Linked DNA regions of Danio rerio. The protein of the gene in region 5 interacts with the protein of the main gene of each other region in a biochemical or structural test. Links are inferred from orthologs where the notes say so. Each region holds a gene or a part of one and is shown on either strand. Other genes may lie near its edges.

Evidence for each region.
Region 1: the proteins of shc1 (region 5) and gab1 form a complex in vitro, tested with the Homo sapiens proteins (2 studies listed by BioGRID and IntAct, with this or other methods). The link is inferred for Danio rerio from reciprocal best matches to the Homo sapiens genes SHC1 and GAB1.
Region 2: the proteins of shc1 (region 5) and inpp5d form a complex in vitro, tested with the Homo sapiens proteins (2 studies listed by BioGRID and IntAct, with this or other methods). The link is inferred for Danio rerio from reciprocal best matches to the Homo sapiens genes SHC1 and INPP5D.
Region 3: the proteins of shc1 (region 5) and csf3r form a complex in vitro, tested with the Homo sapiens proteins (2 studies listed by BioGRID, with this or other methods). The link is inferred for Danio rerio from reciprocal best matches to the Homo sapiens genes SHC1 and CSF3R.
Region 4: the proteins of shc1 (region 5) and flt4 form a complex in vitro, tested with the Homo sapiens proteins (2 studies listed by BioGRID). The link is inferred for Danio rerio from reciprocal best matches to the Homo sapiens genes SHC1 and FLT4.

Annotation. Positions count from the first base shown.
Region 1 is NC_133176.1:38,638,518-38,644,965, forward strand, and holds the start of gab1 (GRB2-associated-binding protein 1), read left to right. Parts: upstream 1-2,350; 5' UTR 2,351-2,844; intron 2,845-2,934; 5' UTR 2,935-2,984; coding exon 2,985-3,056; intron 3,057-6,448. UniProt on the Homo sapiens protein: Adapter protein that plays a role in intracellular signaling cascades triggered by activated receptor-type kinases. Plays a role in FGFR1 signaling. Probably involved in signaling by the epidermal growth factor receptor (EGFR) and the insulin receptor (INSR).
Region 2 is NC_133181.1:30,679,966-30,685,813, forward strand, and holds part of inpp5d (phosphatidylinositol 3,4,5-trisphosphate 5-phosphatase 1), read left to right. Parts: coding exon 1-54; intron 55-396; coding exon 397-484; intron 485-1,512; coding exon 1,513-1,659; intron 1,660-2,064; coding exon 2,065-2,128; intron 2,129-4,153; coding exon 4,154-4,354; intron 4,355-5,848. UniProt on the Homo sapiens protein: Phosphatidylinositol (PtdIns) phosphatase that specifically hydrolyzes the 5-phosphate of phosphatidylinositol-3,4,5-trisphosphate (PtdIns(3,4,5)P3) to produce PtdIns(3,4)P2, thereby negatively regulating the PI3K (phosphoinositide 3-kinase) pathways.
Region 3 is NC_133191.1:3,330,912-3,336,759, forward strand, and holds part of csf3r (granulocyte colony-stimulating factor receptor), read right to left. Parts: intron 3,832-5,848; coding exon 3,668-3,831; intron 1,252-3,667; coding exon 1,094-1,251; intron 999-1,093; coding exon 845-998; intron 1-844. UniProt on the Homo sapiens protein: Receptor for granulocyte colony-stimulating factor (CSF3), essential for granulocytic maturation. Plays a crucial role in the proliferation, differentiation and survival of cells along the neutrophilic lineage.
Region 4 is NC_133189.1:18,115,504-18,121,351, forward strand, and holds part of flt4 (vascular endothelial growth factor receptor 3 precursor), read right to left. Parts: intron 5,519-5,848; coding exon 5,414-5,518; intron 5,331-5,413; coding exon 5,217-5,330; intron 5,105-5,216; coding exon 5,016-5,104; intron 4,902-5,015; coding exon 4,796-4,901; intron 1,322-4,795; coding exon 1,221-1,321; intron 1-1,220. UniProt on the Homo sapiens protein: Tyrosine-protein kinase that acts as a cell-surface receptor for VEGFC and VEGFD, and plays an essential role in adult lymphangiogenesis and in the development of the vascular network and the cardiovascular system during embryonic development.
Region 5 is NC_133191.1:24,104,505-24,110,352, forward strand, and holds part of shc1 (SHC-transforming protein 1), read right to left. Parts: intron 5,435-5,848; exon of another isoform or gene 5,199-5,434; intron 2,922-5,198; coding exon 2,795-2,921; intron 1,272-2,794; coding exon 1,112-1,271; intron 1-1,111. UniProt on the Homo sapiens protein: Signaling adapter that couples activated growth factor receptors to signaling pathways. Participates in a signaling cascade initiated by activated KIT and KITLG/SCF.

The DNA.
Region 1 (6,448 bases), on a different chromosome or scaffold from region 5:
TTACTAAAGTTACAAATGCTGTATTTGTAGCTTTTTAAGTCAAATGCTTTACTTAGAACCACATTTATAATGTGCTTAATAATTGTACTTTCATACTTTGTTAATGATTTATTTTTCATTACTTAATTTAGTATTTAATTTTTACAAACCAGTTATTTAAGCATAGTTGCTTGTTTTTTAGGATTATTTAGAATGAGTTAGTAAATGATTTATAAACTGTTCAAATTAACATTTATATATCTTATTATTCAGGCATATAGTAATAATTCATTTGTATGTTAATAAATGCTTTATAACTCAACTTCATCCAGTTTTGTGACCTAATCTAAAGTGAGGACTATTTATGCTTTATAAATTCTTAATAAATGACAATTAAAGGCTCAGTTCTATTCTAAACACAAAAAAAGAAAACAAACGACTTTATTCACTCATATTCATTTGAAGATACACAGGTGAAATTGTATACTTCAATTGAAAAATAAATCTTTGCAACCTTACCTAAAATAAAATTGCTGTATAGTTTAAACATCACATCCTCTTATATTGCTTAATTATTATATTGTTGTTGTTTTAAACAATTTTATGTTGGATTTTGACACTCCTGTCATTTAGCAATGTTTAAACTTTACAGTGATTTTACTTTTTAGATAAGATTGCAAAGATTATTGTTTATTTGAAACTAAGCATTTTATCATCATTTATAAGAGATTTATAAAGCATAAATAGTCCTCACTTTAGACTAGGTCACAAAACTGGATGAAGTTGAGTTAATAAAGCATTTGTTAGCATACATAGTAACCATTAATATATACCTGAACAATATCCTTGATTAATATATACCTTGATTTTAATAGTTTATTAATCATTTACTAACTCATTCTGATCTTAAAAACCATCAACTATTCTTAAATACAATTGGTTTGTAAATAATGCAATACTTCATTAAATATGAAAAATAAATCATTAACAAAGAATGAAAATAATTATTATTAAGCACATTATGAATGTGGTTCTAAGTCAAGAATAGAGCATTTATAGCTGCAGTTATAACCTGCTTACTAACATGTATTAATGTAGAGTAACAGAAAATGAATTCACCATATGTTAATGCTTAATAAATGGTTCATAGTGTGTTGTTATTATTAAGTGTTACCAAAATGTCTTTTTGACTCATTAATGTATTTTAGTGTTAATTATGTGATCTGTGCACCTCCATAAAGTAAAAATTCCATTTTAATCCAAAACCTAAAATCACACGCTTAATGATTGTAGGATAATAATCTAAATCCTTTGCACTGAGTTGAAACTTAGAGCAGTGAGTAGGCACAAAGCTTCAGAGATAACTGAGTGAGGCGTTTAGCATTACAATAACATTCCAAAGATACCAATCCCACAAACGTGAACGTTCTTTACTGAAACTCTTCACTTTTCTATCATTGCCTGCAACCTTGTTCTTTGCTTTTAGATGTTAGTATTATTTTTCTAAAATAATCTTTTTCTGCACTTTAAGCCATACTGTATAAACAAATTCAAGTTTAGTGTAGGCCTATATTTAAATATGTACATCTCCTGGCTATAAATGTAGACTAACGTTAACTGACAACATTGATTTCAAGATATTTGCTTTAAAATGCCATTCGGTTCTTTTGAACAGCTCATTTAAAGATTCGGTTCAAAAACAACATCAGCGAGTCTTTTACGCCATGACGTAATTACGTCATAGTGTATCAAGAGACTTTGATGTTTTTATTTCTTACTTTTTCTCTACGTCTTATAAAGTGTATATCCGCGATGCTGTTTAGTTTTTTTGTGTTTTTATGTGTGAGTGACTGATCTGATTGCTTGTTTGTTAATTCAGGCATTTCTTGCCTAAATGTGATTTTCCTTCACGTTATAAATATATTAGCTACATACAGTAGTTTTACCCTTTTTACCATTTATATTTGTAATATCCTCAGTGAAGAAGCTCATCAATCAAGGATGATCAAAGCCGGCTCGGTTCAGAGACTTTTTTAACCATACTGAAGTGATAAATAGATGTATTGAGTGAAATCGGAATTATATATAATTATAGTCTAATCCATTTTTTTCTTTATTTTTTATCAGTGCGCGTTAATTGTTAAAAGATTATACACAAAATAACACTGCTACTTTGTTTTTCACAGTTTTAATCCAAATGTAAGTAAGATTTATTTGGGACGTAAGAGGTTTATTTACACCTATTCTTTGTAATGCGAGTCACCGTCCCAGTGTTTTCCCTCTGACGGGGCAACACTCCAAGACTACATTTCCCATGATGTAATGTTCTTTATTCTGTGTCTTGACCGACTTCTCCCTGCCTCCATAGGCCAGAGGAGGCTGAGTTTAGGGAAAGTATCGACGTTTATGCTTGTCAATCAGCAAGGAGCCGTGGGGAGTGAAACTGGAGGGAAGGTCGACGATCGGGGAAGATTTCCACTTCCAAAGGCACTTCTGTGCTAATGCGACCATAATGTTTTGGAAAAACAAGGAAAAACTGTACATATTTTCAAGGAAACTGTTTTGTTTTACTTTGAAATAAGGTAATCAAGCAGAGCTTTCACTACGCCGAACTTGGCGAGTATCAGTCGCTGCCTCGTTGCATATCAGCTCGGAAAAAAACGAAAACAGCGTTTTATTTACACGGACAGAGTGTGTAAACTAAAAGGGGACTCAACTACAGACGGATACATGTGTGTTTAAACAAACTGTGCTTGATATATTCCCTTCGGCAGAGGATAGGACTTCATCCAGAAGAGTTTGCGAGAGCCGCGTCGCTGTCGGGAAGCTCTTCCCGTGTGAACGTGCTGGAAACCAGGAGTGACGGTATTCATGTTGTTTCAAACACATGTGCTTAAAACACTTCAAAGCGCAACTTCCAACTCATGTTTAGAAATATGTTTTGATATGTTACAGGCTGAAACACGAAACTTAAAACCCGTGTTTTCCTCAAAGCCTTTAAGAAAATGAGCGGAGGAGATGTGGTTTACTCGGGGTGGCTCCGAAAGTCTCCACCTGAAAAAAAGTTACGGCGTTATGTAAGTAACGTTTTAGTTTTATTCAAATGCACCGACAGTGCAGTAACCGCAGGACTGTTGGGGCAAGATTCATGCAAATTTTCAGTACGCTTTCCAACAGCAACCGCAGGTCAATCACTGCTCGCGATCTGTCGGTTAAAGCTTTATCTTTCTAAAATGCGGACGATCCAAGAATAGTTTCAAAACGGGTTTAGTTCCTCATAAAAATGCGACTGAGTGTGTGTGTGGACGCTGTTTATGTGTTTATTGCACTGGGGTTGTTTTTGTGAAAGCTTTGCTTGTGCAAATCTTTATTTGTGGCGTCTTGATCGGTTCTGTAGACACACCTACCGGTATGGGAACTTTTTGATCAATTAAAGAAGCAGTTCCTTTATTTTTGTTGTTAAGATTTAAACATAAACAAAGAGCACTTTTAAGAAATATCACGAAACATTGGAACTCTGGTGCTATTTTTTTAGATAAGGTTATTTTTTATACACGACGTGGGTCGCCCCTCATGGGTGGCGCCATGTTGGTATCACATGACATAGTTGATCCAGGTACAAATAATAACAAAAGCAGAAATATTTGTTTATATAGTCCTTTAGCTAGTGCCCAGGCCATAACCATTAAGCTACATATACATATTTAAAGCGCAAACGGAACACATGGCTACTTGACAAAGTTTGAATAAATAAATATGCAGCTGCTGCAGATAGACAACTTGTGGTATTCTAGTTAGTACTGGAAAACTAGCTTCCAGTAAATGCACCCATAAGTGGATAAAATCAATACATGGATTTGTGTAGCATGGTAAGCAGAAAAAAAGAAAGACATAACCCAAATCAAACTTCACGCATCCATGCCAAGAGGAGTCAGTACAAGTCCAAGGCCTTTGCTACACCTGTAATCACAAAGAGCCAGCTGTGAAAACCAGTGTGATGCTTATTGTTTGATTTGAATATTGCCATGCATCAAGGTTGCAGAATACAATGCCGGTAAACAGATATATCAAAATAATTTTCAATGTATTCATTAGATTGAGTTGTAATGTTCAGCTCTTTAAATATCAGATCACTACTTGCCCCAATGATGATTGGTTACTTGCTCCCCTATCTTGTGTATTTTTTTTTGTTTTGCAATCATTCTGGTCTGTTGTGAAATTTTCAACATTTTGTTTTTAGACATTTTATTTTTCACCAAATCACACGAAATGCCTTTGTTTGCTGCAACTTTAGTTGCCAAGACAACTGAACACTTAACTCTCCATTCTATCTGCACTGGATGAGTCAATGCATTTAGTCATTCGCACATTGTATGTGTACCATGGGGTCTTCCCTTCCTCTTAGTGGTAATATACACCAATAATCTGTAATGAAATCACTTACTTACAGCTCTGCCTGCTATCGAGCTCCAACCAAACATGTTAGAAATCTCCTCCAGGCTCATGTGATGTTTTTTATTTATTATTGGATTCCTTTAATCTAGTGGAGCTCTTCTTGGAATATTGCTATTGAATTCATGTTTTATCTCATTGTGCAATCAGCAACACGTTTTAGACTCAAACAGCCAAGTATTTTACAAGATTAGAGTATTTGGCTTTTTCAGCCTTTGTGATTTAAGTAGCAGCTATTACATTTGACCTTGTAGTCAATCCAGGAAAATTCAATGGCTTGAGAGTGTGATTTCACATGCTTTGAACTGGCAGAGTAAAACGGTAGTCTGTTGAATGTGATGAACAATATTTCATGGCTCCAAATCTAATTAAAATGATTTCTGAGCTCATCCACACGATGCTATAATAAGATTAGATCGATGCAAGAACAAGTGCTTTGTTGTACAACGGTTTGTTCTCAGAAGTCATTTTTAGATTTCCTCTCGTTGAGAGAGATTTAAACAGCGTTTGTGGACAAAGGCCTTTGTCTTCTTTAGATGTTTTCATTATGCTTTAGAGTTAGATAAGAAACTTCCTTCAATTTATCCCTTCTTTCTTGTTTCAGTAAGCTTACAACCTTGTGTTACTGTAGTTTTGTAGTGCTGTCCTCAACATTGGGCTTCATTCTCAGTCTGTTTTCTAGTGAAGTGGTCTCAGAAGTATTGCATGTAGTGCTTGAAAGTGGCTGATTAGGACCAGACTGTTTTTACTGGAGTCAAGTGGCTAATAACTGAAATGCTTCTTTTCTAGAGGAGCCCCATGCCAGGTGTACAGGCCTATTAGACTTTTGAGCAGTTGTACATTTATCAGCAGATGTTCTAATTAAAGATGCATTTTGTAATGATTGCAGTGAATGAGCATCTGAAACTTCAGATGAAGCTGTAATTTTTTTAGCTTCAGAGTTCAGACAAATTAAATAGATAAGTTCATTCATTCATTCATTCATTCATTCATTCATTCATTTTTCTTTTCGGCTTACCCACTTTATTAGTCAGAAGTTGCCACAGCAGAACCACCAACTTATCCAGCATATGTTTTACGCCCTTTATTAGTGGATGCCCTTTCAGCCACTACCCAACTCTGTGGAAACACACACAGTCATTATATGTATTTATTTATTTTATTAAGTTTTTTAAATCGCACTAACTTACAAATGTTTACGGTTATGACATATTATTTGAACAAATAAACATTACTAATTGTTTTAATTAATACCTTAAAACTTTTTATTCCTCAAATAATCCTGAAAAGTCACAAATGTAGTAACGTTTTTTTTTTAAATAAGTTTTTTTGAGCACAAGATCTACAATATTAGGATGATTTTTGAATGTTTGACATTGAAAATCGCTTCTGTAAACTGAAAAAAGCCAACTTGAGTAATAGATTACATTTTAATGTAAAAATAAAACTTCAAAATAATTTTATTTAATATTAACGATTTTTATTTTAATAAAATATATTTACAATGTTGGTACACACATTACACTTAATATCTTGCCCCCTAAACAGTAGTTGGTGTCATTCACAACATTCTGCATCAACTCTCATTCTGTGTCATCTTGTTAACATGCCTTAGTTAAAAAGAAATCTTCTTTTTAGCTAGCTCATGTGATATCATTCATGGTTGAAACCCTTCAGAAACAGAAGAAAAAGTCCTACAGCTTGCAGACTAAAACAGTATCATCTTTTATTATAGACTAAAAGACAGATTTGCATTTTATCCAACTGAAATGAGCAAACTAAGGCTGCACGATATTGGAAAAATCTAAAATTGTAATATTTATTCTGCAATTTATATTGCGATATGAATACAAGATGAGTTTAATAACTATTTGGAAAGAATTGATAATATTGATTGGGATGCTTCTGTAGGGGATTGTATAAAATAAAATAAACTATCTACAAGCATAGATAAATACAAATAAACAAAAAGGTACAAATTAAATAAACAGCATTTTATTGTTTTCCTGAGGAGTTG
Region 2 (5,848 bases), on a different chromosome or scaffold from region 5:
GAAAACCAAGAGATGGAGGGCTCAATAAAAGTGCGATTTGCAGGACAAGTTGAGGTAAAAACTGTATTTAATGACACTTCACACAAAACTGAGCATTCTTTCATTATTTACTCACCCTCCAATTGTTCCGAACCTGCTAAACGCAATAGACAATATTTTGAAGAAAACTGGAAACCTGTAACCATTGACTATGGAATCAATGATTACAGGTTTTCATCTTTCTTCAATAATCCTTCTTTTGTGCTCAGCAGAAGAAAGAAACTAAAAAAGGCTTTAAAACCACATGAGAGTGAGTAAATAGTGAGTAAATGCTGGGGTAAGCTAATAGACACCAAAATACTATGAGGTAAAATTCAGCCACCATGTTTACATGGTCTTTGTGAAATGACTTTGCAGCTCACACCCATCATTGCAGATCCAGAATACCTCCTTGATCAGCACATCCTCATCTGCATTAAATCCACGGATTCTGATGAGTCATATGGTAAGTTCATCAAAAATAAGTGAAAGTTAACATTCCTATAATCTAAACTGGCCTATTGCTCACTGACCACATCTGCAAGCAAGTCATTTTCTGATTGAGGCCCATATTCTACTTAAAATGTAGGTAACATTTATTTAAAAAGCATCACCTATTAGGTCTCAAGTCATAGTTTCTCGGTCCAATCCTAAAAAAAACAATGGTATTAATATATTCTCAACAGCTATTAGTTACACCTGTTCTAATTTTTGTTAATGTAAATATCTGAGCACTCACAAGCTCTTCTGCAGTGCTGCATTTAACTCAGAGTTGAGCAGTGGTGGAAAGAGTATTGGAAAACCATACTTAGGTAAACGTACCATTCATACCTGCCAACACTACCGTTTTTCCCGGGAATCTCCCTTATTTCAGACCCATCTCCCAGTTTGTTCTGTCTTCTGGAAAACTCCTAGAATTTCACCCCCTCCAAATGCTAGCAACTTACAGCAAGAAGGTCACTGGTTCGAGCCCCAGCTGGGGCGGTTGTCATTTCTGTGTGGAGTTTGCATGTTCTCCCCGTGTTGGCATGTCTTTTCTCCGGGAGCTCCGGTTTCCCCCACAGTTCAAAGACATGCAGTTTGGTGAATTGAATAAGCTAAATCGGCTGTAGTGTATGTGTATGAATCCAAGAGTGTATTGGTGTTTCCAGAGGTGGGACAAAGTCGTTGTTTGGCAAGTCACAAGTAAATTTTAATTCATTGCCCTCAAGTCCAAAGTCAAAGGCCAACAAGTCTCAAGTCAAGTCCAAAGTCCTACGGTTTGACATTCGAGTTTTTTCGAGTCTTTTTTGGGTTGTGGCTGGAAAGGGCATCTGCTAGGTAAAACATATGCTTGATAAGTTGATGGTTCATTCCGCTGTGGCAACCCCAGATTAATAAAGAGACTAAGCCAAAAAGAAAATGAATGAATGAATTAATGAATTAATTAATAATTAATTAGTATTGGACTGTTTTTATGTATGTAAACACAATAATTTTGTTCTCTGTCTCTAGGTGAAGGCTGTGTGGCGCTTCGCTCTGCTGAAAGCTCTTACACTGAATTCAGCATCACACTCACACACCATGGTGAACGCACAGGCTGGCTAACAGGAGCCATTCAACTGCCCAAATCTGAAGGAAAACAGACAGAGAAACTGTATGGTGAGTGCACGCTTTGTACAGCAATGTCTGTTACATGCCAAATGAAATCCTGTTTCTGCCCTCATATCAATTTAAATAATGATTAATTTCTTGCATTGGATAATTTAATTGCTTAATTAAATTTGAGTTTGTTTCTGAAAAACATTTTTCCTCAGAATTATGGTTGAATATACTGTACAACTGTTAGAATAACAAGTTCTGAGAAGAAAGGTCTGAGGTATAAAAGAGTAATAAAGAATGTTTGGATTAGAAGATTAAGTATGGTGTTACCTTTATTCTTTTTATTCTGAGGTGGAAATGAGCTTCCGTAGTTACAACTAGAAGAAAGCTGTAATATGTGTTTTGTCTCAGAGTATTGAGGCCATGTCCCTTTTCTTAAAATAATCTGGCTTTTTTCTGTTTTAGATTTCATTAAAGTCGGAGATGATCCAGGAGCTGGAAAAGGCAAAACAGGAGATAATACGAAAATGTAAAATATTTCAATACTCCTTTACAATTTACATGTGTTATTTTATGACATGGTAATATCTAAAAGTATTATGTTACTTATGTATGCCTTTTTAAATCAAAGTTTCCATATTTAAAAAAAGGAAACAAAACAAAAGTAAAATGAATTATAAATATAAAATAAAAAATAATAACATAGAAAAACATATTTATATTAATAAAATAATAATAAAAAATATATAGTAGCTTTCATTCATTCTCTTGTTGGCTTAGTTCCTTTATTAATTCGGGGTTGCCACAGCAGAATGAACCGCCAACATATCCAGCAAGTTTTTTTACGCAGCGGATGCCCTTCCAGCCGCAACCCATCTCTGAGAAACATCCACACACACACACTACAGACAATTTAGCCTACCCAATTCACTTGTACAGCATGTCTTTGGACTGTGGGGGAAACCGGAGCACCCAGAGGAAACCAACGCGAAGGCAGGGAGAATATGCAAACTCCACACAGAAACGCCAACTGAGCTGAGGTTCGACCCAGCGACCTTCTTGCTGTGAGGCGACAGCACTACCTACTGCGCCACTGCCTCACCCTTCTATAGTAGCTTTCATTATAAACATTTACTGTAAATGTCAAACAAAATTTTAATAAATAATGATGTAAACTAGAAAGGCAAACTTCGTAGGCAAATTTTTTGCCGGCAGCTAGCTCTCTGCAACTTTCACATGGTCGCCTACTGAAGCTAAGCAGGGCTGCGCCTGGTTAGTACCTGGATGGGAGACCACATGGGAAAGCTAGGTTGCTGCCGGAAGAGGTGTTAGTGAGGCCAGCAGGGGGCGCCCAAACTGCGGTTTGTGTGGGTCCTAATGCTCCAGTATAGTGACAAGGACTCTATACTGTTCATTGAGCACCGTCATTAGGATGAGACGTTAAACTGAGGTCCTGATTCTCTTTGGTCATTAAAAATCCCAGGATGTCCTTCGAAAAAGAGTAGGGGTTAAACCCCAGCACCCTGGCCAAATCTGCCCACTGGCCTCTGTCCATCATGGCCTCCTAACCCTCCCCATATCATCATTGGCTTCATCACTCCGTCTCCTCTCCACCAATCAGCTGGTGTGTGGTATGCGGTCTGGCACAATATGGCTGCCATTGCATCATCCAGGTGGATGCTGCCCACTGGTGGTGGATGAGGAGATTCCCTCTATGTGCAAAGCGCTTCGAATGCCGAGAAAAGCGCTATATAAATGTAAGGAATTTCTATTATTATTTATAGTGGCTTGAGAAAGCCTAGTCTGACAGTTTGAAGTAGTTTAAAAGTTTAAATCATTGAAGTAGTTTTTAAGTTGTTATAAAAAGTTGGCATAGATAGATAACTACATATATGTTTGCATGTTTCAAGTGTGAATTGGCATGTTTCTTGCTAGGCGGTTGATAGGGTGTTCTGAGTGGCTGCTAAGGCACTGCTAGGGTGTTCTAAGTGGTTGCTAGGCGGTTCCCTATATAGCGACTTAATTCAGTATAGTTAGGAGGTTGTAGTATGAACGGTCTAGGAGGAGATATGTTCTTAAAATAGTCGAAGAAGAAGAAGAAGAAGAAGAAGAAGAAGAAGAAGAAGAAGAAAAAGAAGAAGAAATCTATGTTGTATAACAGTATGTTGGTTTTCTCAAGCCACCATAACAATAAAAAATAAATAAATAAATAAATATATAAATATATATTTATATTAATAAAATAATAATAAAAAATTATAATAGCTTTCATTATAAACATTTCCTATAATTTTTTTTCAAATGTTTTTAATTTATTTTTTATTTAAAGTGAAATTGAAATGTGTGCTATACAAAATCTGATCTGTCTGTTTTATTTTGCTTGAATAGAAATGTGCACACTTTGCATTTGTTTTGGTTGCTTGACATGAATTAATATAAATCACAGCACGTTTGATGATAACCTGATGTTGTTATATTTCCCACTTCCTTTGAGATGCTTTACACAGATTACATTCATGTTTGTACACATAAACCATCTGACCTTCTTTGACAGGTCTTCTTCAGTCCTCGCTTCTGATATCAGTAACCCTAGTTATATGGGTGTAGGCTATAAGAGTGGTATCCAAGCCCCTGGCAGCCTTACTTCCCAAAGAACAGGGCCATCAAAGGACATGACGCATGGCAATATCTCTCCAAAAAAGACAAGTTATGATCATGCTACATCCAGTCCAACGGCAAAGACATCTAACCCTATGTAAGTATCCACCTTATTTTTTACACAAACATGCACAGGTATTTAACTTCGATTACAGAGTTTTTTGCAGTATAAAACATCATGTTATGCAGACCAGCATTTTATATTGTATTATTTTAATTATTGTCATAGTTATAAACACACTAGTTTACCCTGTATTGAACCAATGCATGTAAAGAGTAGGAGTCACAAAAATAGAACATCTCAGAAAACAGCTTACTTCCTTGTTGAACTGTTAAATGAAGTAAAGGCAAAGCTCGAAATTACATTATTATTGTTATAATGATAGAATACTTTAAAGTTAAAAGTATTTTTGATGTTTTCCAGTGTTGGGACATATGCTGAATAGGTTGGTGGTTCATTCCACTGTGGCAACCCCAGATAAATAAAGGGACTAAGCCGAAAAGAAAATGAATGAATAAATTAGTATTTTTGGTATTTTATTGTAGGCATTATTTATGATTATTAATATAATAATAATGTTATTATCATTATCAACATCATTATTATTATTATTATTAGTAGTAGTAGTAGTAGTAGTAGTAGTGGTAGCAGTAGTAGTCGTCGTCGTCGTCATCGTCGGGTAACACTATAATTACACACTATGAACATTTTTTTTTGTTTGTTTGTTTGTCTAGCATGGTTGATCCGTGCTGATGACAGTTCCAGATACAGTGTTTCCAATAGTGAATGTAACCAGTGCTTAACTGAAAGATCATGAGGAGGTTTCTACCTCTGTGCCAACATTTACTTTTTAGCAGTTGAAGCACTAACCAAAAATGTATGGATCTTTGCAATTAAGAGAAATCAAGAGTTATCATTCAATAAAAACAATACAGGATCTTTGGGGAAAGAAATTTTTGTTACTTTAAATAAAATGTCTATCACCGAATCTGCAAAAGTTTTGCACCTCCGGACATTCTCACATCATATGTAAAAAGGTATCTAAACGCTGAGGTTCACAGAACTTACAAAAGGGACGTGGAGATAATAAACCTATGATATGTTGTATACCTGTGTTTAAATATGCCCTGTGAATAATTCACTATGAATAATTTATGATGCATTAACAAATAGTAAATTCATTATCTGCATTATTTTAATAGACATTAGTAAGGAGTTTATAAATACAGCTACAAATGCTGTATTTTTGACTTATAAGCACATATATAACGTGCTTAATGACTGTGTTTTCATACTTTGTTAATGATTATTTTTTCATTACATTATTAAGTATTGCATCATTTACAAACTAGTTATTTAAGAATAGTTGGTGGGTTTTTAAGATTATCCAGAATGTGTAAGGAAATGATTAATAAACTATTCAAATTAACATTTACATATCTTATTATTCATGCATTTACTAACAGTTCATTTGTATGTTAATTAATGCTTTATTAACTCAACTTCATCCAGTTTTGTGACCTAATCTAAAGTGAGGACTAATTATGCTTTATAAATCCCTTATAAATGAAAATTAAAGTGAACATGAAA
Region 3 (5,848 bases), about 21 Mb from region 5:
TTGCAGGTAGTCGTGCAACTAGACTTCTGCGTGCTGTTTGTGTTGGTCTGCAATAACACTTCCAAAACGCTAGCAGGCAGTAGGTTTATATGTTCCTCTGTGTCAAGTTTCTTTGCTGGTATTTTTTTTTTATGAACGCTATAAGTAGCTAAAACTAGCTCATTCAGAGGCAGGAACTGGCGGACGGGCAACAACTTTAATCATGAGGTAAACACAAAACAAAAGTTTCGATCTGGAGCTCCTTCACGTGACTTGACACTTGTAAAACACTCGCTCCATCGGGCTCCATCAGTACCACCCACACTCAGCACAGCTACCAAGGCGACCAATCACAGAGCTTCTGATGCGTCGCCATGCATCATCGTGTATTTACATTTTTTGAGAGGTGCGTGTCAGCCTTCGTGAGGGCTAAAGGCTGATAATATTTCTGCATCAAAGACGCATAGTCCTCGGCGTGGCCGTCGCGCACCTCTCAAAAGAGCTACAAATGCCCCTGTGTCAGCATGGTGGCAGATTTAAAAACAAGACTAACGTCCTATGCTAATGAGGGAGAGATGGTCACTAGAGGGCGGGGCTTTCCCCCTCTGAAGACACGTACAAAGGGAGAATGTCAATCAAAGTGTTTCAGCAGCGTTAATAAATAATCTGATGGGTATTTTGAGCTGAAACTTTACCGAAACTTTATCCTGGAGACACCAAAATCTTATCTTACTTGTTGTAAAAGGGGTCAAATCCAAGCCCTTTAAAAATGATAAAAAACTAAACTTTTTTTTTTTTTAATTATTTTGGAGATGCTTAAATCTACGATCGCCCATGTGGGAGCCATACTGAAATCATTCCTTACCCTTATTAAGTGTTGTAGCAGTTTTTGGGTCACTCCATTCACTCCATTCACTAGTTGCATAATATTTCACTCTCACTGTGCTTCTGTAATCTGTCCAATGGAGGAGGCTACACACTTCAATCGGATTTAGCTGTAACTGCCTGGAGGTATAAACCTAAAGCAGAATAAAAACATTTTAGACACCTTTTTAGATAACTGACAGTCTCACCTTGTGGAAAAGTGATGTCATCGTGTTTAGCTTTGACTCACCAGGTCTTTGTTTGGCTGGTTGTTCACGGTTTTCAATCTTAACTGCACAATGAAGGTCAACTGCAGCCATTTCTGAGTCTCCGAAAGACTCCAGCTGTATTTTAAACAGCCATACCTGTGAGCTTCAATCCTGGTAATACTTGGAGGATCAAACTTCACTGAAATAAAATACAGTAATAAACACTCAACATCTTTTTTATGGACATTTTGGGCTTTTTATAACTACTTTCATGGCTTGTTCTTCCATTCAGAGAAGATCAATATTTTTAATTAATTAATTTATTTTTAATTACCTGATGCAGGATTGTGTATAAGTGACAGTGTAGTGTAGAATCTGTAATACTCATCAAATAGGCTAAAATATAATGCAACACACTTAGGGCCCTATCATACATCCGGCGCAGTGTGGCGCAAGACGCGGCGCAATAGTCTTTTGGTAGTTTCAGCTTGGCGCAAGAGTCGTTTTGAGGCGTTGCGCTACGCTGTTTAAATAGCAAATGCATTAGCGCTCATTTGTGTGCCCATAGGTGTTCTGGTCTAAAAAGGAAGGCGTTCTGAGGCGGACCGCTGGCGCGTTGCTATTTTGAGAAACTATAATAGATTTTTCATTAGACCAAAACAAACCCGGTCTAAACTCCGGCGCAGAGTTACTCCTCGCTTACACACTGCTTAATACACACAAGAGAGCAATAGGCAAATATCTTTACATAAGAAAAATATTAAATATTAAGGATATATATAGGATATAATAAGAATAGATATAGAATATAAATATAAAAGATTAAAATATTAAAAAACATATTATTTTCTAGCCTACATAAATATGAAAAATCACTGCTTTTATGTCTTCTTCATCTCGGGAGGCTTTTTCAGTTCATTCATAACAATTTGCTTTTGTATAATGTTATTATTATTAGCAGTATTATTTATTATATCCATATTTATATTTGTTTTATTAAAAACAAGCTTAGATTTGCCCACCTGTCATGTTTTAGACCATATGGGGCACAGCATGTGTTTTAGGATATAACTCAGGTTTTTGAGCACACTTTGCTATTATTATTCATTTATTCGTTTGCTGGAAATTAGAACTGAATTTAGAAATAGTTTTGAAACGAATATTTGCGCTTAACAAACAAAAGTATTTATTTATAGACTAATTGATGTCTGTGCGTAAAGGTGTCCCTATCCACGAGCGAATGTAAAAGTAGATCCATTATCCCTCATTCTCACGCAGTAGATGTTCTGTTTAACAGTTTTCTGTTAAAGAACTGTCAACTGTGAACTGTTTGTTTGTGAAATGCTCAGTTTTTCCACTTAGACTTACTTTGCGTCCTGTAAATAGCGAATGCGCTCTTGGCGTGACGCAGCTGACTCTTAAAAGGAATGGGAGATGAGACTCTAATTGGTTTATTCTCAAAACACACCTATAACTTATGAAGAAAATAAACTCAACCCTTTTAGAACCACGGCGCAAGGCAGATTTCCCGTCCTTAAATTAGCAAAAACGCGTCCTGACACCGCCTGAAAGCATTTGCGCCCTGCATTTTGCGCTCTGCGCATGGACCGTCAAAATAGAGCCCTTAAATTGTATTGTAATTGTAACGTAGATCTAGCTCCCTCTTGAGGACATATTGTGCATTTCACTTTTGCTAAATTTGCAGTAATAGCCCGTTTCCACTGAGTGGTACGATTCGGTATGGTTCGGTACGCTTTTATGGTCGTTTCCACTGTCAAAAGGTATCTAAAGAAGAACCGTACCATAACACTTTTTGAAGTGGTACCAAAAAAGGTACCAAGCTGATTGCTTTTGGTTTACAGAGACATGTCACTCGCTTGTGGACAAGCAGGATAATAAAAACAAAGGAAACGCCATTTTTAAAAACGGCAGTTCTGTGGGCGCAAATGCCTTGTTGATGCCAGAGGTCAGAGGAGAATGAACTGGTTCCATCTGATAGAAAGACAACAGGTACTTAAATAACCACTCGTTACATGATGCTATCATATCAGCATTGAGCAAAATCTCTAGGCTGCGTCCGAAACCGCGTACTACTCAGTAGGTACTACATTTGAATTTAAACGTACTACTCGGCCGTTAGAATAGTACGTTCTTTACAGAATGTGAAAAGTATGAATGGAGTTTGGACGTACTACATCCGCCATTTTGTCATAGTCACATGACCTACCTGCGTCAATTGCGTCGCTTTACACCCATTCATGAGTTCCCTCGTGGGGTATCATGGGATAGCGCAGCGTGCATGGAATACACACTCCGGAATCTCGCCGAAAGTCATAAGTCATCCGGGTACTTCTCGCATACTGATTTTCGAATTTAATGAATTCAGACACACTACTCGGCTCGCATACATATTGCATAGTATAGAAGTATGCGGTTTCGGACGCAGCCTCTGAGTAATATTTCCAGAACCTTGTTGAATCTATGCCACTAAGGATTAAGGCAGTTCTGAAGACATAGGTGTACCTAATAAAGTGGCCGGTAAGTGTATATATTAGCAAAACCCCTATATTCATCAGCTCACATTTAAAGTCTTATCAGTTAAATGACCCGTTTACCTGTGTTCAAAGGGGTGAGTTTCAGAGGATCAGTGGTTGTGTTTCCAAAGACATTCGCTGCTGTCACAGAAATCTCCAGCTCAGTAAAATAGCCGTATGCGTCCCGTGGAACCACGTAGAAGTGCTGCCCGGGTGGGACCGCATAAACCTTTTGTGACTTGGCCCTGGAAAAATCAAATGAATAAAATGTACAATAGTTACGTCAGCAATCAAGTTGAATTTTTCTCTACATCAGTGTTTCTCAACCACGTTCCTGGAGGACCACCAGCACTGCATGTTTTGGATGTCTCCTTTGTCTGTCACAAAATTGTCTGTCAGGAATGTGGTTGTCACTTCTGGCTTGCTTGGTTTTGGACTTTTGGGGCTGCACATTTATGGATTTGCCCTTTAAACTTTGGACTTTCAGCAGTGAAACATGTAACTAAACTGAACTTCAACTCTGAAAACTGGACTGACACTGTTTCAACTTACTAAAAATTAAAGCTTTAGCAATAGTTCTGCCAGGAAGACTGGTATGTTACGTCATTTATAAAAGTTATCTCGTCATCCTATAACAACCAAGCGCGGTACATATAAACCCATCTAAACAATCTGTGTTGCTGTACTCAGGTGACGTTGCGAAAGCTTCCCTCCATCCTCCCCACCACCACCAGGTTGGCCTCGTCTCCCCTCAGGGATTGGCTTCACCCTGCCTTCATCTTTAGGCAGGATCTGCCAGCTCATCCAGAGCTCTACAACATAGATAGGCTTAAGCCAAAGGGCTTTATAAAAGGACAGTAACAAACTTACATTTATCCATCAATTCACGATAAATATCAAAACATTTATCTGCTTCTTTCTGGTAGAACTTCTATGTTAAAGGGTCATGACGCCCCCCACTTTCGGTTCAGCTCTACATCAGATTTTTTTTTTTTCAAAAGATGCATCATAATGGGGGTGGAGCTCCATGAGCAAAGGGAAGGAGTGGGCGTGGCCAGCAGGGGAGAAGGAGGGGAGTGAACAACTGTTGTCAGTTGGCTCACAAAATGAGACACAAACCATGAGGAGTTTATAAGGTAAAATGCAAAGAAATATACAGTAATTTAATCCCCCCGCTACATTTGTTATTTGTAATTTCATATACAGACAACCACAATTTATATCATTATGAAGATAATCGTGTTCACATAAACACTATAAATGAGGATTCTTCCTCAATCTCCAGGTCTGAATGCAGACTCAGTGCAGCAGGTCTCTTGCCCTGTCTATTTTAACCATTAGCCCTGTTGGTAATCTGGAGCATTTAGGCAAACACAGCAGCACAGCGCTGTGTCTAAATGTGAACAAACTCCTGATAAAAGACAACGTCCACCATTCTCCAATTCTCGTACTGCTCTCCCGACAAAAATGCTTGCTGCATACAAACAGCTTTGCTGTATCGGCGGCCCTGACAGCATTGCAGGGAAAAACATGCAACAAACCCTGTGGATCATGGAAACAAGCACATACGACCCTTTATTAACCGCTAAATACTGTGTGCCGTGGGTCTGTGTCTCACAGCTTGGCACTGGCAGGTCTGCTTTGCCTTCGGAAAGCACATGCAGTCATAAATAATTAAGAAGCCGGCTCTCCTCATAGGATAAGAAAACTCAGCTATGAATATGAATAATAATGAGAAAGTGACGCGTCATCTTTGCACTTGCAGTTTTGCATTACGTCGCCGATTTTTATCCGCCCCAAAAATAATTTTAAACCTGAAAGCTGAAATTATTTGACAAAGCTCAAAATGATCCAGTTTTTCCCACAATTACAGCTGACAGGTGCTAACATTGTCTTAACTGATGCTCAACACACACACAAATCTGCTAAAATCTCAAAAAAAGTACTCGAAGGTTTCGTGAACTTTTAAGCTGCTTTGACAGAACCTACATTGTAAAAGTGCTACACTGCAAAAAATGCTTTTCTTACTTACTGTAGATTTTTTTTTGTCTTGTTTCTAGTGCAAATATCTAAAAGTCTGCACAAGCAGAACATTTTGTCTTGTTTTAAGAAATAATATGCCAAAACGAAGTGAGTTTTTCCTTAAATCAAGCAAAATAACCTGCCAATGGGGTAAGCAAAATAATCTTATCACAAATCAAAAAAATAAGATAACTTTGCTCACCCCATTGGCAGGTTATTTTGCTTGATTTAAGGAAAAAC
Region 4 (5,848 bases), on a different chromosome or scaffold from region 5:
TACTAAAGCCAAATCAAGAGCTTATCTAACAAAATAACTAACAAAAATGGTCCAAAAACCAGTACACCCAAATTTATATCTTTTTTTAAATATTAAATACAAATTAAAAAACAGGAAAAATCAAGAAAAGCAAAAAAAAAAATAATAATAAAATAAATGAGCTGAAATTTTGTAGGTTGTAAATTATTCTTGCAATATTCTGCTTGAATTTAATTGTATCTTGAATCTTTCAATTTCTAAATATGTTTGCTGACTAAAATATTATTTAAATGAATATATCTGTTAAATAATTTTTTTTTGTTTAAATGCATCAACATACATTGCCTATATTCACTGAGAAATGCATAAAACTATTCTTTTTCAAAATGGGGTATACTCAATTATGCTGAGCAGTGTATGTACACTATATATATAGTATACAGCGTATATACAGTGCTCAGCATAAATGAGTACACCCTGCACAGATCTCTCTTTTAAATTTTTTATTTTAACAGGATGCTTTACAGTAAAATATTATATTTTAAATTATATTATATTATAAATTATATTATATATTAAAAAATCACAGTCCAAAAATTTGTACATCCAAATTAGTATGTCTAGGGAAAATATGAAATTAACTTTTAATAAACAGGTAAAATTAATACATAACAAAAATATTACAAAATTTTGCTGAAATGTTATTATATTTGTATTATATATATAATTACGTGTGTGATCTGGGTATTTCAGTGCTGTTAAAGTGTTGTTTTTTATTCCAAGGGTTAAAGGTTTGATACATTGCATCATTATGTTTATATGACTGTGTTGAAATAATTTACTCTACCAACGTGTATTCTACCAATGATAAAAACTGTTGTAGGAAGATGTAACTGAGGACACTTTTGTGAGGTGAAAGGTGCAAGGTTGTAAAACGCTGGCAACACTGGGCTATTTGTTGCCATTTGTAACAATTTGCTTCCAGCTTTACAAAACCCTTTTTTATCATCATGACCTTCTTTTTTATAATCAATTTCACTATAAGAATTTTTTGACCACTTTCTTTGAATAAATTCAAACAAATTTTGAGGAGGTTTTAAATGATAACCTACAGACAAAAGGTAAACTAGACATTTACGATGGCAATAAAGTGTTAAAACATCTAAAGTTCAGCAATAACATACAAACTGAATAAAGGATTCATCACAGAGGTTAAGATTAAATAAATGTTTGAAAATTACCTTACGAGATGCCAGAAACTCCATTCCTCGTGCAACTTGAAAACTGTAGCATATCAGATCCTCTATTGTGAGTGGAGTTTTCCAGAGATCATCCACTGTAACTGGTGAAGGAGAAATTATTAATGCATTATAGTTGCTATTAACTTTAGTACACATTCAAGTGCACATTTAATGGTCCAGTGAAATTAAAATAAAGTTTTTTAGATGTTGGTATGCTAATCTTAAGGATAAATATGAGTTGTGGTACAAAATCGTGACAGAAATTTGCATTTAAAACATATACAGTTGAAGTCAGAATTATTAGCCCCCCTGAAATATTAGCCCCCTTGTTTATTTTTTTTCTCAATTTCTGTTTAATAGAGAGACTTTTTCAACAGATTTCTAAACATAATACTTTTAATAACTAAATTCTAATAACTGATTTTTTTTATTTTTGCCATGATGACAGTTAATAATATTTCACTAGATATTTTTCAAGACATTTCTATACAGCTTAAAGTGACAATTAAAGGCTAAACTAGGTTATTTAGGATAACTAGGTTAGCTAGGCAAATTATGGTAATTAGGCAAGTTATTGTATAATGATGGTTTGTTCTGTAGACTATAGATAAAGGGGCTAATAATTTTAAAAATTAAAAAGTACTTTTATTCTAGCCAAAATAAAACAAATAAGACTTTCTCAAGAAGAAAAAATATTATCAGACATACTTTGAAAATTTCCTTGCTCTGTTAAATATCATTGGCGAAATATTTTAAAAAAGAAGAAAATTTTTAAATGGGGGTTCAACTGTAAATATCAAAAGCTTGTGTGTTTGTCACATCTGCCTAAATCAGGGGTGACAAACTAAATTCCTGGAGTGCCGCAGCCCTGCAGACTTTAGTTCCAGCCTTGCTTCAACACACCTATCTGTAGGAATCAAACAAGACTTAATCACTCAATTAGAATGATCTGGTGTGCTTAATTAGGGTTGGAACTAAACTGTGCAGAGCTGCGGCCCTCCAGGAACTAAGTTTGACACATGTGGCCTATTGCCACATACTTGATCAGTCAAATGCTCTCTAGTATCTGACATGTCCTGCCCTTTTCAAGATGCTTCTCATTTGCTTTTCATTTGATACGATTGAACTCAACCGCTTCCACTGGCAGAGCTGTGAAAGAACAAAACGCTATTGGCTGTTTCTTAGGGGAGTAGCTACTTTATGTCCCAACCTCTATTCCGGTTTCAGTCAAATAAAAATGCACTTTTCCAAGAACTTCTTGGGACCTTTAAATCAGAAATTTGTCAGAAAGACTGTGTCAAATCTAAAGAACCGAAAAGTCTTTATGATGTTCTGTTTTTTTTTTTATTCATCCCAGTCTCAACCAGAAAAGCTTTCATAATCTCTGGTGTTTTTTATCAGCATGATTGATTCTGCATTCTTTTCCAAAGTTTAAATGCAAAAACCTCTAAATTCCATCTAGTATTTTTCTCTAAAACGAGAAAAACTAAAAATTTTATCAAGCTCCTGTGTGTATGTTCAGTAATATCACTTTTATGGCAAAAATAAGTCCTTTTCCTGGTCTTTAAAGTAAAGTATATCAACATAAACAAAGGAGGCTTTAAAAAAATGTTCATTTTGGATGGAAATTTCAGACGGCACTTAGAAGTTTTTGCATGTGAACTCTTCACTTACAGTCATATTTCAAAAATAATAATAATAACAACAACAATAACATTAACAGAAATACCTTATTTTTCCCCGATTCAAATATTATGGAATTACAAGCACACCTCTTTCAGGACTTTATGTTGTTGTTGGAAGCATAAGGCCCAGGTTTATTGCACTGTAGCATGTTTTAAATTCAAATATATGCCATTATCCCTGTGTAATATATAATGTATATAATATAGATCAAACTGTCAGTGCTATACATGGCTGAAATGACAAACCTGACTTGACAAGAATGACAAGAATGATGACAAAATGTCTATTTTTGGGTGAATTGTCACTTTAAAACCTACAGTTTACTGCATAAACCATGGCATGCTCTTCTCTGCCATGCTAAGTTCCTACTTTAAAATGGCACATGAGTGCACTTTAAAGTCTTTTTTTTTTTTTTTTGCAATATTGTCTACAAGGTAAACATCTTATTTTAATGTATGATACTGCTGCATTTTATTAGATAAATAAAGTTCAAGTATACTTCATTTTTCTTGTAAAGTTTATTGAAAATATTTAGGGAAGTAAGTAGCAGCCATTTTCCTACCAAAATTCATTCACAATATTTTGTTAACAAATAAATTCATAAAGTTTAAAACCACTAAGGTGGTCATTTTTGGGTGAACTGTCCCCTTAATAGTTTATACCCAGATAGCAAACAAACGTGGCCCACTTTACACCAGTTATACAATAGTGGTCTCCATTCGGCCCAGACAAATAGAATCTGAGCCTGAAATGGCCCACCTGTACAATGACAAAAGGGGGGCAAAGATTCCAATTCATATATGGGCCATTTAAGGAAAAAATTTGTCACTTTTGGCAAAATGTAATCTGAATGTGAGCCTAATGTGACCCATGTGGAAAATTTGGCCCAAATGACAGAGGATACATGTGGGCCACAGTTGGCAAAAATGTGGCATACTGTAGTCATTTAAGGTTAGTCTGCGTCTAAACTCGAAGTGGCTTGCATATGTAGGTGCAAATGTGGCCCAGTCATCTAAAGACATATGTAGGCCACTTTGCACAAATATTCAGCACAGTATACTCTGGCTAATGTGGGTGTTACCCTGTAGTGGCCCAGGGAAGATATGGAAAATTTGGCCCAGTTATCCTACCACATATGTGGGCCACTTTTGGCAAATATTCAAAACAGTAAGCTTTGGCAAATGTCGCTGTGACCCTAAAGTGGCCGAGAGAAGATATGCAAGAATGTGATTGCAAATGTGGCCCAATTAATCCTAAGACATGTGTGGACCACTTTTGGCAAATATTTGGCACAGTCTAGCTAATGTAGTTGTGAGCCTATATTGGTCCAGATGAGATATGGCAAATATGGGTGAGTATCTCTGGCTAAAGATGGTGAGAGCTCAAAGCAAATGAGGTAATATGTGGCAAGTATGGTACTGTTATCCTAAAACGTATAATGGGTCACTTTTGGCAAAGATAAAGTACACTGATCATTTGATAATTATAGGGGTCATACCATAGCTCTTTGACATGGTAAATATGGGTAGTAATAGCTAATTTGTGGCCTAGATCTGGAAAACAGGAGCGGACCACCCTAGAGCCATCATTCCATTCAGTATGTGGTCTGGATGTAAGTGTCTGGTGTGGGCCGGATCTGGGCTAGAATAAAAGCGAAGTGTGGCCCAGAATAGCGCCAGTTCTGGATCATTTGTTTGAATTCTGGCTAATATGTGACATTGCTATGGCTTTTGTGGCCCAGATCTGGCAAACAGTAGCGGATCGCCCAAGTGCCATCATTCCATGCGGTATGTGGGTCAGATGCAAGTGTCTGGTGTGGGCCGGATTTAGGTCACATGAATTTTGCTAGCTAGGTATACTCTTCCCATTGGTCTTCTGATTTCTCTTACCACGTGGAGGGTTGGTGGAGGAAGTGGACGGCTGATGCTCACTCTGGCTCGCCTGACCTGCTTCTATCATCCGTCGCACTTGACTTTGGGTTTTAGGAGAACGATCCTGCAAACGCATGCACATCTCATATTGAGTTATAGTTGATTGTGGGTGTTGAGGGTGCAGCCTACTGTCTGTGTAACATCAGGTTACATAAATAAACATTTCAGTCTCTCTCACCCTGTATGGTAAAAAAAACTCCCTCTTGGCACGCAGGAAGTTGGACAGATTTCCATATTTACAATACTCCACTATAACCATGAGAGGACCTGATAAACAGATATAGAAAAGAAGTTTTAAAAAGGGCTGCCGACAAACCAATTTATCACAATAATTGGTAACAGGGAATAAAAACATCCTTTCCTAATTCTCCATCCATACCGTTAGGTTTGGTACAAGCTCCAAGAAGGTTGACAACATTGAGATGGTTTCCAATATGAATGAGGATCTTCAGCTCTGACATCAGGGCTTTGTGCTCGCTGGCTGTTGCTCCCTCTGTGATATGAAAGAGTTCAGTAAACGTATGTGAGAAGGAATGGGGTTTTAGTGTTCACCACAGTTTACGAGTAAGACTGAACCTTTCAACATCTTGACAGCCACTGTGTTTGCAGAGGATTTCTTGTCATGACCAAAGATTGAGGCTTCAATCACCTTCCCGAAAGCTCCATGGCCGAGCACCTTACCTACAAACAAAAAAGACAGAACATCCATCATACTTAGAATGCCATGTAATGATTTCAATATTGGTTAATTACATACAGTAGAAGCTAGTTTTTCTCCATTAAATTAATTTTTAATAATATGGCATTTGCATCGGACACATTGCTTTTTATGACATAGACAAAAACACAAGGTGAAACTCAGTGAAAGTGCAGTGATCTTCTAGCTAACTTAAGGTTTCAGTGCTAAAGCTAACATATCAGGAGGTCCAAGTTTTTTTGTCAGCCAAACTCCTTGGATGTAAACTATTTACTTAAAGCCAATCTAATGATCTAAGCGCAAAGTCTTAAGTG
Region 5 (5,848 bases):
TACTCAAATAAATGCCTGAAACGACTTGAGGGTGAGGTAATACACTGAATAAAATATTCATTGACTTTACTTATACAATTTTTTTTAAGGTAAGTGGTTGCAAACAATTCATTTGGTCTGAATTTTAACAAACAAATAAAATAATCAAATTAAACATTACTACATTCAATTTGTTTGTTTAAATTCAACCCATATAAATAGTTTGCAACAATATTTTTTTCTCTGTGTATTTTATTAAAATGTACAATTTTAGGACGGCAGAATAGCCTAGTGGTTAGTGTGTCGACATATGGTGCTGTAGCATGTCAGGTCGTCCCGAGTTCGAATCCCAGCTTAAGGACATTTCCCTACCAAAAAGAGTAAAGCAGTGGCGCAGTAGGTAGTGCTGTCACCTCACAGCAAGAAAGTCGCTGGTTCGAGCCTCGGCTGGGTCAGTTGACGTTTCTGTGTGGAGTTTGCATGTTCCCCCACAGTCCAAAGACATGCGGTACAGGTGAATTGGATAGGCTAAATTGTCCATAGAGTATGAGTATGTATGGATGTTTCCCAGAGATGGGTTGCAGCTGAAAGAACATTAGCTGCCTAAAACATGTGCTGGATAAGTTGGCTGTTCATTCTGCTGTGGCGACCCCAGAATAATAAAGGGACTAAGCTGAAAAGAAAATTAATGAATGAATGTACAATTTTGGTTGAACAATCCCTTTAACAAGGTCATTGATTGTGATTTCTTTTTAGTAACACTTTAGTTTAGGTTAATTAGCTAGCTAGCTAGTTTGTTAGTTAGTTAGTTACTGGCGAAACGTTTCCTTCAATGTGCAAAAGGAGGCCAACAAATAAGAACACACTGGACCAGCAAAGCAATCATAAGACGTTGAGGATGACATTTTAATAGAACCACAAAGAGGTTAAATGTGTAAAAATCAATTCGATATTTTTAAAACAAATAAACACAATCAAGCCTTTGAGAATTGCAGATTAACCACCATTTTCATACCAGAAAGACAAAAATGATCAAACATGTTAATGCCAGTGAAAGAAATCAGGACAATGAAAGGTGCGCGTTTATCACTAAAGCAAACCATTTGATGAATCACTAAAACAAGAGTCTAACCAGCGTGGGTCCTGTACTGTGTCCGGGACGGGTCCTCATGTCCACTAAACCACCAGGAGGAGGCTGTTTGCCGGGGAAGTTGTTGTAATATGGCACCTCTGGCGGAGGAGCCAGATCTTCTTCCTCTTCCTCCCACGCTGACCCATCAAACGGAGCCATGCTAAGAGACGGAGACAGATAAAGAAGCACAATATTATATTATTATGTTTACATGGACATGCTGTTTGAGAGATTTTAAATGATGCACTTCTTTGTTGTGAAACCAGCAGAAACAAACACACGCTTGGCGAAATGACAGTGGGAACAGCAAACAAATGGATCAGATTATCTTCCAAAACTAAGTTTATAAATTCTTGTATTTTTACATTTGTAAAAATACTTTAAACAAAATACATTTCCTTATTGCATCCTAGTGCACAAAAATTCACATTCTGTCAGCATTCACTCTTCCTTTACTTGTTTTAAACCTTTATGAGTTTCTTTCCTCAGTTAAACACAAAAAAAAGACATTTTGAAAAATGCTGGAAACCTGTAACCATTGATTTCCATAGTATTTGTTTTTCCTACTATGGATGTCAAAGGAAACAGCTGCCTTTCAAATATCTTCTTTTGTGTTCAACAGAAGAAGGAAACTTGGAACCACCTGAAAAAGAGTTAATAGGGAGTACATTTTCATTTTTAGCTTTTCACTAATTTGTTTTAAATTGAAGGTCATTTATCTTGTTTTGACCTTTATTTTTAGTACCACTGTAATTAACAATCCTAAAATAGATTTAATACTGTTAAACAGTGTAGGTTTGTATTTCAAAATATATTATCATATCAAGGGCGACGCAGTGGCGCAGTAGGTAGTGTTGTGGCAACCCCAGATTAATAAAAGACTAAGCCGAAAAGAAAATGAATGAAAGAATGAATTAGCCAAAAATATTAAAACACCATGTCAATGTAGTTTGCACATTATGATTTTGCAGAGTATGATGTGATCCTGGATTAATATCTATGTTGATCCTGGAACATCATTTTTGTTCGAAAAATCTAATCCATACCTATTCACTACCCCTAAACCCAACCATAACTGTAGATTATTCTTAAAAAAGGGTAATAATAGTTGAATAAACTGTAAGCCTAAACTTAACATAAACGGGAAATATATTCCTTAATTCTGATTGGCTGATTGTAATGTTGTTCTAGGGTAAACACAGATGTTGATCCAGGAACATGTCCTACTTGGTAAAATCAGGTTAGGGAATATATTTTTTAGCCTTATAAGCCTCTTGTCAGTGTTAGTACTACAGTAATGTCAAGCTTTAGTTAGAAAAAAATTGAAAAATTATTTTGAATGAGATGCTGGCAATGCAGTGGCGCAGTAGGTAGTGCTGTGGCGACCCCACATTAATAAAGGGACTAAGCCGAAAAGAAAATAAATGAATGAATGAATTATCATATCAACACTGACAAGTTTTTCAAGCTTGTGTATTCAAGACTCTTGAATGACGTTCAGAAACAATGCTTCTGTTCAACAAGCTTGAAATGGTGTGTATGCACACACGTACACATACAGGATATTAAGGGGGTTTCCGAAGACCCTAGGGAGGTACCGTCATTAATCAATGTGCACACACTCATCTAAACACACTGACATTAATGTAAACATTTGCACTTTTGTCCAAAAATGACTCTTACCGGTCATGGGGGGTGACCACTTTGGGTGGGTTTTTTAGGTATTGTTTAAAGCGGAGCTCGAAAGCCTGACCTATGGTGCTGATGACCTCCTGAGCCAAGCCTTCAGAGCACTCCAGGATATGACACGCTACAACACAGGATAGAAGATATTATATATCAAGACCGAACAAGTAGACATTCCTTCCATCAAACGAATGGTTCACCCAAAAACATTCAATCCTGCTAAACCTTTTCGTTCAGCAATTCAGTCCTTAAAGGGGTCATAAACTGAGAAATCAAATATCCCTTGATCTTTTCACATTTAGAATGCCATTGGACTAAACAATCTGTAAGTTTTAAAACTAAAACAGTTTTCATTGAAGCCAGTCTACTAAGTTGACAGGTTGCGGAATAACTAGCCACTTTATTACAAAATGTTTAACCAAAACTCTACCTCCATCAACATCTGCTTCTACATCACTGCCTGTTAAGCTCTGCCCACCATTTTTGAGTTGAAACGCATCAACAATAAAGATGACAAACAAAAAGATGCTATGTAAAGCCAGACTGTGTCAAAATACTGTCTTTGCATTGCTTTCCTTCAAGTCCCAATATAAGGAAAGTGTCAATGGACTTTATTTTTAAATTAATTTCTAGACTGGATCAGGAGGGCATCTAAGCCAGCTTCTATTCAATCCCTGGGACTCTGCGATGGTTGTGGAAAGATTGGCAATAAAATTTTATGAACTTGCTTCAACCGGCAGAGCCACGGAAATAAAAAAGCAAATAATGATTAAAAAAAACATTTATAATAATAATAATAATAATAAATTATTTAACAAAAGTGAGAATTTGTCCTTTGTTCATTTACTTCATTTTGCTGCAGATTTTTTCCCAAACATCAGACATTCAATGCTGGATTTTCAAAAAGATCTAAAGTGACCAAATCTTTTTTAATTGAATCTCACAAAAAATGCACAACATTTATTCATTCAAAAAGTTCATTACACAAGATCTCAAACAGATGTGAGAACATGATGAAAAGATCAATTAATAACAATTGCATCAGTTAAAAATAAAAATGTATAGGTGTGCTAAGGGAGTACTTGCAATTAAGTGTTTGGAATGAATCTGACCTTAAAATACAAAAGGAATTGTCTTCAAAGTTTAAAAAAATCTTTTAATAGAGCCTTGCAGGGAATATTTGAGCTTTAAATATAAGCTGTAAGTACGAACAAATAATTTATAGAACTTTAAATGTGCCATACAATTTTCTAGCCGAAAATATTAAAAGACCATTTCAATGTAGTACGCACATTGAAATTTTTACAGAGTATGATGTGATCCTGGATTAACATGAATGTTGATCCTGGAACATCATTTTTGTTTGAAAAATTGAATCCTATTCCCTACCCCTAAACCCAACCATAACTGTACATTATTCTCAAAATCAGAGGGCAATAATAGTTCAATCTGATTGGCTGATTGTAATGTTGTTCTAGGATAAACACAGATGTTGATCCAGGAATGATCATGAAATCAGGTTAGGAAATATGTTTCCGAGCCATATCAGCCTCTGTCAGTGTTAGTACTACAGAAGTGTCAAGCTGAAACTAGAAAAATTATGACAAAAATATTTTGAAAGAGATGCTAATAGTCTAATCCGATTCAAGAATCTATGCTAGGTTAAGCTAAAGGTGCTCATGCTAGACCCTGAGATCGGCTGAATAAATAAAAAAAATGGTAAAACTCTAAAAAGTGCTCATTTAAAGTATGATCATTCAAATCTAAGAGTTAGTTCACCCAAAAATGAAAACTATGTTACTATTAATTACTCATCCCCATGTCATTCCAAACCCCTGAGACCTTTTTCAGTTTTAGTTAACAAAGAGAGCTCCCTCATCCTCCATAGACAGCAATGGTCCAGGGATGTTCAAAGTTCGGAAAAATATCAAAAACCATCCTCAAAACAGATCATATGCTCAATCAGAATGTCATCAAGCTGTGAGAATACTGTAATGTGTATGTGTATATCATCTGATGGTTTTAAATGATTTAAAAATGAACATGGATACAGTTTGTGTATCGCAAGTTCCCACGATTTACATTTTGTGATCATATCTCTATTTTGTTGTGTCCAATTATTACTTGTAGTTTGAAACAAATGAAAGTATGACCAAATTGTGCTGCATTTCTATGGAGATCCTAGTGTAGCTGCCATTATGGCCCTTTGATTTTATGCCCGCCAAGTCTCTGCGCATGTTACGTGACTGAAAACTATCAATAGGGCGCTTGGTCGCTCTGTTGATAAATACCTCAGATGTACTGTACTGTGAGAAAGTTGCATGCAGGCATCTAGGGGCATGTACAAATACAGTGCTTGTGAACATGCACAATATACTGACACTGAAGAGAAGAAACTTTTGAAATTGCTATTTTGGGTTTATTTGTGCACAAAAGTTATCGTTTTCTGCAATTTTAACAAGTCTGGAACATTGCTGTCTGTGGAGGATTAGGTAAGTCTCAGATTTAATAAAATAACTTAAAATTTACTCCAAAGATGAATGAAGGTCTCAGGGGTTTGGAACAACATGGGGATGAGTAATTAGTAACATCATTTTATTTGAAGTATTAAATAATAAAATGGGCAATTTATGACCCCTGTGGAAATATAAATTTCTATCAACTAATTCCAAATGAACAATAATCTACGTATAACTGAAAAGTTATATTCTTTGGTTTTTAATTATTTTATTTCATTGACATGCCAGCTAGGAGGGTCATTTAACTTTTCCCTTGCTGACTACAGACTAAGCCAAAGTAATGCAAATTGTCAGTTTCACAGCATGGGGTGTCTATTGTTTTCTTTTTTCGATCAAATAGTCAGGCGGTTTCTGTCTCCAGAACAAGATGAGATTAGGCCTGAAAAAGCAGTTTACCCTGCCGACCACAACTCTTAATTTGCATACTTTGTTTAAGCCAAATCCCCTCCTCCTAAGAACACAATTTAGACATGAAATCTTTGTCTTAAATCAGACTATTTGCAGACTTGTGTGAGACTTGTGAGAGACTTGT